Linked DNA regions of Coturnix japonica. The protein of the gene in region 1 purifies or fractionates together with the protein of each later gene. This does not show direct contact. Links are inferred from orthologs where the notes say so. Each region holds a gene or a part of one and is shown on either strand. Other genes may lie near its edges.

Region 1 (4,194 bases):
TCCTGCTCAGTGCAGCGCTGGCGGCGTGCAGCCCCATGGAGCCTCCTCCGAGGGCTTTGGGGAAAACCCGAGGGCTGTGAGAAAGAGCTCAGCTCCCTCCTGGTGGGCAGCAGCACTTCCTCTGTGCTCAGCTCCCACCGCTTCGGTCCCGAGCGCGGCTCCATCAGTGCAGATTTATCCCCAGCATCCACCCCATCCCTCTGCTGCAGGAGCACACAGAGGGCTCCTGGACACCACCAGCCCCAGCCATGCAGAGGGGTAAATGCTCCCTGAAAGCTGTGATTTGGGGGATCAGAGCAATGGTTCACCCCTGTCACATGCTGGCAACCAGTGCAAGCAGACTGCTCCCAGTCCAACCCCAGCACCAGAGCCATCAGCACCAGGGTTTGCTCCAGCTGTGGGGATGGAAGCCCCCAGAGCCCCCAGTTTCCTAACAAAACTGAAGACTTCTTGCTAATGAGAGGTGACCACGCTCACACTCACACACCCCCTTCCCACCCACGCCAGCCCAGGTGAGCACCCAGCACCCACCCCCTCCATCCCGATACGACTTACTGAATTTCTTGAAGCCCCCTCGTTTCTGGCCCTCAGCCATGGCTGTGCTGGGTGGAGGCTGCAGGGACAAGTTTATAAACTTGAAGCCTGTCCCTGCCTGCTCCTCCCTTCCTGTCCCCCCTCCGCCTCTCGCTTTGCTCTCTCAATCACTCAGCGCTTCCTCCTCGCTGCTGCCATCTGCTCTTATGGCAGCTGCTGTCCCCGCTATCCCCTGCGGTCCCATCCCTTATTGTCCCTGTGCTCCCATCCCTTATTGTCCCTTCAGTCCCATCCCCTGTTGTCCCTGCACTCCCATCCCTTGTGATCCCTGCACTCCCATCCCATATTGTCCCTGCAGTCCCATCCCTTGCTGTCCCTGTGCTCCCATCCCTTGTGATCCTTGCAGTCCCATCCCTTGTTGTCCCTACAGTCCCCTCCTGGCTGCTCAGGTGCCATTAATGGGATTAATGTGCTTTAGGGCCGCCCTTGAATGGCTGGGTGCCGGCATGGGGCAGGCTGGCAGCTCCATGGCTGGAGGTCCCCATATGGGGCTCAGCTCCATGGTGGAGCCCCAAGGCCCCACTGCACCATGTGCTGGTGGAGCTGTGTTGTCTGTGGGGTCATTTCTATGGGGGATGCAGTGGCCCAGAGCTGGTGGGCAGCCCCAGGGCCTTGTCCTATGGAGTGTCCCTGTATGGCCACGGCCCTTCCTATGTGGGTGACACTGTGAGGGAGGGAACGCGGGCACACAGCTATAGACAGCCATAAAGCCGCAGGGTGATACGGGTTTATCCGGGGTGACAACATGGCGGCCTAAGGTGGACTACAAATCCCAGCAGGCAGCGCGCCGGCGCGCCGGAAATAGCGTAAGGCGAGAGGGCGGAAGTGAAGCCGTCGGCCGGCATGGCCAAGCAGTACGACATGGTGGAGTGCCCGTTCTGCGATGAGGTGTCCAAGTACGAGAAGCTCGCCAAGATCGGGCAGGGCACGTTCGGGTGAGCGCTGCGGGCCTCGGCTCTGCTCCCAGCCCGGGCATGGCTCCTATGGGGCCGATTATCTGCTGTTATTCAGCGTCATGGGGAACAGGCCGCGGCCTGACCCGGGGCCTTTGTGCTGTGGGGGCTGCGGGCCTCGGCCTCCTCCTTATGGGGCTCATGGGGCCTTGTTGTTGTTACATGGGTCTCTCCGTGTTGTTATATGGGTCCTTGTTGTTGTTACGTGGGTCCTTGTTGTTACGTGGGTCTCTCCGTGTTGTTATATGGGTCCTTGTTGTTACATGGGTCTCTTCTTGTTGTTACAGGGAGGTGTTCAAAGCCAAACACCGGCAGACGGGGAAAAAGGTGGCGCTGAAGAAGGTGCTGATGGAGAACGAGAAGGAGGGGGTAGGTGTGAGCTGTGCTGTGCTATGGAGGGGATGGGGTGGGGGGTGGGCTATGGAACATCAGTGTGTATTAACTTTAATGGTGTTTACTGCTGTAACGTGCCAGGTCTTGAGTAACAGCACACAGCACATGGGGGTGGGGTGGTTGTGCTGTGGGTCAATTGGGGCTTTGCCATGTGCTGTGCTCATAGATGGGAAAGGAGGGCAGGTGTCCATGTCACACAAACACCTCCACCTTGTGGCAGAATCCTAAGGGTGGCCAATGAGTTTTGTCGCCCCTGTAATGTTTTGTAGTTTCAATTACTCTTAAATGAGCTGTTGCAGTGCTACTCAAGCAGGTGTCCTGTGCTGCAGCAGTCCAATCTCTCCTGTTCTATAAGCAGATGTGAGCTGCACTCCTAACCTGTGTCTTCTCCTTTCCAGTTCCCCATCACAGCTCTGCGAGAGATTAAAATCCTCCAGCTGCTGAAGCATGAGAATGTGGTGAACCTCATAGAAATCTGTAGGACCAAAGGTAGCTGCCGGGGTCTCATTTGTGCTGTGCTGAGGGGGTGTCTGTTTTCAGCCTTTGTTCTTGGCTCAGCAGGCTGCTGTGTTGCACTGGGGGTGGATCCTCCAGCTGAGCATGTGTTTAATCTGGGGTGACCACACGCTCATCTGTGGAAACTCATTTTGAATGAGTGCTACTGTGCTGCAGCTTGGCTGGAAAAAGCTGTTGTCAGTGCTGCTGGCACATGCCTGTGCTGTCTCAGTGACTGCTGTCTGTGTGCTGGCTGAATGGCTTTAAATGAACCTGCAGCAGGAGAGAATGTGAAACAGAACGTTTTCTGCCTGGTGGTGGTTTTGCAGCTTTATGATGCTGATGCCATTGGGAGCAGGAGCCGTGTTTCTGCAGCTCGTGGAGCTTTGTGCTGGTGACAGCTCCAGCTGGAGACTTGCTCAGCCTCTCCTGTGCATGACAGAACCCCCCAGGCTTTGAGGGCTGGATTGGAAGTGCTGCCACTTCACAGTGAGCAATTCAGTTGCTCTGTGCTGAGCTGCTGTTCCATCTCATCGCTGCAGGCAGTCCCTGGGGGAGGCAGCACGTCTCTGCTGTGTGACTGATGTGCTTAATGCACCTGGCCAGGCTCAGTTTCCAGGGAAATCATTTTAAAGCATTTCCTCATTTTTATATATCCTTCTCTTATATGGATTTGTACTGCAAAAGAGGTTTGGAAAGCGACAGATGATATTAAAGCCTGCCATGCTGTAGTCAGTTCTTTTTGGTTAAATACAATTGATAATAGCACCTTTCTGCTGCTGTTTTTTACACTCAACTGGTAGGAATCTCAGGCCTAGGTCTGGGAACTTGGTGTTGCTCCATAGAATGTAGGTAACTGTCGGTTTTTGAACCAGTAGGTAGGAGGAAAAACACTGAGTTAATGTTTAATTCTTGGATTGATTAAACCAGCTGTGATGACTGCATGCTGCTGGCACGTCTCAGGTCAATATTTTTGTAGCTGTGTCAGATTGTTTGGGTCTTGTTTAAATTCTACTTTTCTACCTTGACCTCAGATTCAAGTGAAAAACAGAAACATTTCATTGACTGTTCTCAGACTTTAAGCTTTTCTCTTTTTATGTTGGAAGAGGGGTTGTGAGGACGGCACCACTGTCATGTGCAATCTAGAAAGCATCCTCCAGGCTGCATTTACTGTGCAGGCTGAGCTTAGCCCACATTTTCTGGTTCTTGCTGCTGATCAGCAGGTTTTGCTGTGCACAGCTGATCAAAATCAGCCTTTTGTTTTGGTGTTTTGCACGTGTGCTCTAGGAGCAAGATTGAAATTGATTGCTTCATTTGAGGTTTCCTGTCATTGACCATAAATTGCAATTGAAGTTGGGGTTTTAAATCATATTGATCTGCATCAGTCTGTTCTCATAGACACCATTTGAGGTTGCAGTAAACTTCACTTTCTGATGTTGCTTTAGAAATATTTGCTGTATTCCTGTGAGTCTGTCTTTGCCTGTTCCTCCTCTAATGCTGATGCAATGATTGTGCTCGGCTGTCAGCTGTGTGTGTGCACCCACGGGCTGCAGTTTGTAGGCACAAAACCCCACAGCTGTTAATACACGCAGCACAACACACAAATGAAGCTTTCAAAGACTTTTTTGCTCTTGCTTTGCCTTTCTCATGATGTTCACTACCACTCTGATCCTCATCCACTGTTGCTTGTTTTGCTGTTTTAATACCTCTTTTTGAAGGCTCTTGAGGCATCTGGAGTCCCTGTTTTGATGTTCCTCTG
Region 2 (4,149 bases), on another chromosome or scaffold:
ACTAGAGGTAAGATGCCCAGATTTAGTTCCATAAATGCAATTTCTAGTCTTACATTTTAACTCAGAAAGTTGTTATACACCACTTCAATGCCAGACTGACTGAAGTAGAACTGAGTATCTCAAACCAAGTAAACAAAGTTAAGTAACATCTCCATTACTAAACACAAGCCAGTGATGTGTGATAAAATACTCAAAATTCACTGTAGCTTCTAGTGGATGGCAAGTTCCAAAATGGAAGAGCAGCTCTGTTCTGTAAAACTTTATAGAACCGTATCAGAGCTTATGGGCTGTTCCTGGGAGACTAGAAAAAGAGAAACCCAAAACACCACACATGGGCCACTTTAAAAGGTTTCCATGATTAAGAACTATGCACTCCTATTAACATGGACAATTAGACTGTGAGAAATCCACCTTCTCTAGCAGCTAAGGTCCTCCTTCAGTTCAGAATACTTACAATAGGTCCATCTCCTCTCTCCAGGAATGGCTGATGATTTATATGCACAATAGCAGGCAACAAGTACTGTTCAGAAGAAAAAAGCCACATTATAGTTTCTTCCCAGGAGCTCAGCCTGCCTTACACCAGGCTGTACTTTCATTGCTGGATTTCAGCAGTACACCACATCATAATCACAACTTACAGACAGCGTTTTCCCTGATCCAGTCTGTGCAACTCCAACCATATCCAATCCACTCAGGGCAACAGGCCATCCCTGTGCTTGAATAGCAGTAGGCTCAGTGAAGTTCTGCCTCTGAATCACCTCCATAACATTTGCTTGAAGAGAAAATTAGAGCTTAACTCACAAGTTGTAAATCAAGACAGGAAAAAAATAAAACAATATGTTGGCCAGCACTTACCAGGAAAGTTAGCTTCATAGAAGTTTATGATTGGTTTTGGACAGTTATGGCCCCTCACTGTGACTTCTTTGCTTGACCTGTACTGCTCAACCTCTTGCTGCAAAAGAAAAACCTCATTACTGGAAACAGCTTTGGCACGGAAGTTAGTGAAGTTACTGCACGCTGGGTCCCATGACCTTAAGCATGTTTGTGCTTGTTTACTTCTGCGTGAGCTGGGTGGGTACATACCGCAGTTCGTCTGACTACATCAGGATGTTCTTGATAGAAGTTCTTCTCAAATTTGGGCAGTTCATCTAAATTCCATTTCTTTTTGGTCAGCTTTTCCCCGGGGTTTCCAAATTTTTTCCCAGAAAGTGGACCAGCTCTACTTCCTCCAAAACGAGGGGCTCCAAACCTAGAGAATATATCAATATTTAGGATCCAAGAGAAAATTTGTTCTCCTCTTGCTATTATGTAACCGCTGTCTTTGTGGTATGCCCTGTAACTTCACAGTTCAGAGTTACCAACCCCACCTATGAGATATTAAGCTTTCAAAACTTAAGTGGCAGATGCAGCAATCCACCTATCTTCACACTCAGAAGGTGAAGTAATGCATTACTTTGCAGCTCCCATAAAACAGAATGGCCTACTGGCAAGATCCAGCACAGGTAAGGAAGTAACATGAACACCGCTGTATTACTCCATGATCAAAATGGTTTCCTACCCAACTGACACTCCCATTTTATCAGCCTACAGAAAGCAGGCAGGGCTTGTTACAAAACCCGGCTACAACTTCCCTCTACGTGTTTTTACCACGTATCCAAACGACAAACTCCTCTCAGTGCCCGTGCGTTGTGAGGACACGCGTTTTCTGTTAATGTTTTATTAACCTCGTGCCCCTCTGTTCTGAGCAGCGACACGGCGCAGCCCATCCGATCCCAGCAGCCCCAAAGCGCAGCTGGACGCGGCTCAGTGCCCGCATGGAGCCCCTGGAGCTGCGCTAACCCGGAGCCGAGCGCGGAGCTGCCTCCCCCCGTCCGGCCGCAGCCCGGCACCGGGTGCGGGGAGCGATCGTGCACCACAGCACAGCGCTCCCAGAGGGGACCGAGCCGAGCGGCCGCTGCTTCCTGCCAGCGCTGTTTCCTTTGTCTCTCATTTCTGTCTACGCCACATTTTCCAGGCGCTGCCATTTTAGAGTCTGAGCTGGGCGGGGGGGGAGGGGGGGTGGAGGAGGAGGAACAAAGGCGGCAGCAGCAGCCGGCATTTTGATTTCCCCTCAGTCACCGCATGGCGGGGCCGGCCATTAACATCCGCTGACACAACACAAAGCGGGAGCCGGCCGGCTCCTGCCAGCAACAGCTCGAGCCGCCGACCCCCTTCGAGGGCAGGAAAAGGAGGAAGAGGGAACCGCCCAACCCTCAGCTCCTCGAGGCTCCGCCATCGCGCAGCGCCCGGCAGCGCCCGGCCAACCCACTGACACACAAACCTCGTCCCGCCGCCCCCCGAGGGGGGGGATGTGGGGGAGCTCCCCGCCAACCACCCGCACCCGAGCGGCTCCAACACACGCCGCCCCCAATGACTGCTCCCAGCTGCCCCGGATCGAGCCGTGAGCCGAGCTGTGAACTGAGCCGTGAGCCGAGGCCGATCCCCCCCCGCCGCCCCCACGAAGCTCCGCAGTCACAAAGCGGAGCCGCGCTCCAGGCCCAGCCCACGGGCCCGGCCGCCATTTTGAGCGGCTTCCACAGCAGCGCGCGGAGCCCCGCGGTCGCCCTGAGAGTCCGGACGCTGGCGGCGACTGGCGCCGGCCGGGCCCCCGGACTCACCCTCTGTCCCTGTCGCTGGAATACCCGGGCATGGCGATGGTGGCGGTGGGCGAGACGGTCCCGATCGCTAAAAAGGATGACGAAGGGCACGACGCGATCCGGCGCCGTCGGTGGGGGCCACAGAATGTAGAACGCCTCACCGCCCCGATGCCGGTTATATACGGCGCCGCGCGGGCTGCTGGGAGCCGGGCGGTGACGCATGCGCAGATCCCTCCCCCGTTACACAAGCGGCCCGAGCCGCCGCAATGCCCCGCCCCCTCGGAATGATTGACGGGCTGCGCGCCGGAAGTGCCCCTCCCTTGGGGGCGGGGCTTGTGCCGACACCGCCCGCTCCTCTCCCCCCCTCCCCCCCCCCCGCGGCTGCGCCTGCGCACTGCGGGTGTCAGGAGGCGGGTCCGGGCCTGGGGCCAAGAGAGGCCTCGGGGTGTGGGGCGGGCAGTGGTGCGATGAGAGGACGGCGGGGTGGGAGATGAGGGGCCGCAGCCGTGTGTGGTGATGCTGTGTTAGATGCTGTGTGTGTGGTGATGCTGCGGCCCCACAGACACTGAGGAACCACCTGGGGAAGGTCTCAAGGGCTCCGAGCGATAAACGGGGCTGTGTTATCCAAATAAACGGGGCTGTGTTATCCAGTCGCTGTGTTATCCAGTCATCGTTACTGGAAGCCCCGCTCTCGCTTTCCGGGCGATTAAAGGAGTTAGAGGCGCAAATCCTCGCGGCCTTCACAGGTTGGCCACAAATAATCAGGAGAGCAGCCGGATTAAATGCTCTGCAGCGCGCTCATACCCTGCCCTTACCCACTGCACGCTTCCAAGCTGCACATACCTGCATTGGATACAGTTACTATTAGTCACTATTTTTACTTTCCCCAGCCATTCAAAGGTCACCAGGAGTGCAGCAGTGCACGCAGGGACAGCGCTGACAGCACAGCAAACATGGAGCAGCTGACGTGGCTGCTGCGCTGCTTATCTGCCTCCTTTGGGAGCCCCAGGAGGAACCAACAGCTCACACCTGTGGCTCTGGGCACAGCAACGAGGTGAGGCCTGGTACATAACAGCTCTACTGGCAGCCCAGTGCACACACACCATAAGGAGGGAGAAATGCCTTCACACTCCATTTATATCCTCCCACCTCCTCACAGAACTCACGGTCTGAGGTTTTTCTGAAACAAAAATAACAAGAGCTGCGTTTAACAGCTACACACATTGTGTTATATCCCACTCCCAGCTCCTCACACACCATGCACTGCATTTCAGTTTAACTGTACACTATCTGAATAGCATTTACGATTCAACACCCCCTCCTGATAAGAACAGGGGGCCCAAAACGAAGCGAGTTATCAAAATCAGTGAATCGTTCACTATTTATTTATACCTTTTGTGTATATTCCTACCATCTGAATCACCTCCCTTGTCAGCCAAAGCTGCAGCCTACCTTGTTTTTCCTCCTTTATAAGCACTTATAACAATCCCTGCCTCCACATTGACAGTACACT

The links. Proteins that work in one complex are often made in the same cells at the same time.
Region 2: the proteins of CDK9 (region 1) and DDX5 purify together in Homo sapiens (affinity purification with western blotting; 3 studies listed by BioGRID, with this or other methods). This does not show direct contact. The link is inferred for Coturnix japonica from reciprocal best matches to the Homo sapiens genes CDK9 and DDX5.

What each region holds. Positions count from the first base shown.
Region 1 is NC_029532.1:3,652,311-3,656,504, reverse strand, and holds the start of CDK9 (cyclin-dependent kinase 9), read left to right. Parts: upstream 1-1,394; 5' UTR 1,395-1,437; coding exon 1,438-1,529; intron 1,530-1,834; coding exon 1,835-1,916; intron 1,917-2,338; coding exon 2,339-2,429; intron 2,430-4,194. Other genes in the region: SH2D3C (SH2 domain-containing protein 3C), read right to left, coding at 556-595. UniProt on the Homo sapiens protein: Protein kinase involved in the regulation of transcription.
Region 2 is NC_029533.1:7,249,813-7,253,961, reverse strand, and holds the start of DDX5 (probable ATP-dependent RNA helicase DDX5), read right to left. Parts: upstream 2,801-4,149; 5' UTR 2,690-2,800; coding exon 2,658-2,689; intron 1,250-2,657; coding exon 1,084-1,249; intron 953-1,083; coding exon 856-952; intron 773-855; coding exon 639-772; intron 521-638; coding exon 455-520; intron 2-454; coding exon 1-1. UniProt on the Homo sapiens protein: Involved in the alternative regulation of pre-mRNA splicing; its RNA helicase activity is necessary for increasing tau exon 10 inclusion and occurs in a RBM4-dependent manner. Binds to the tau pre-mRNA in the stem-loop region downstream of exon 10.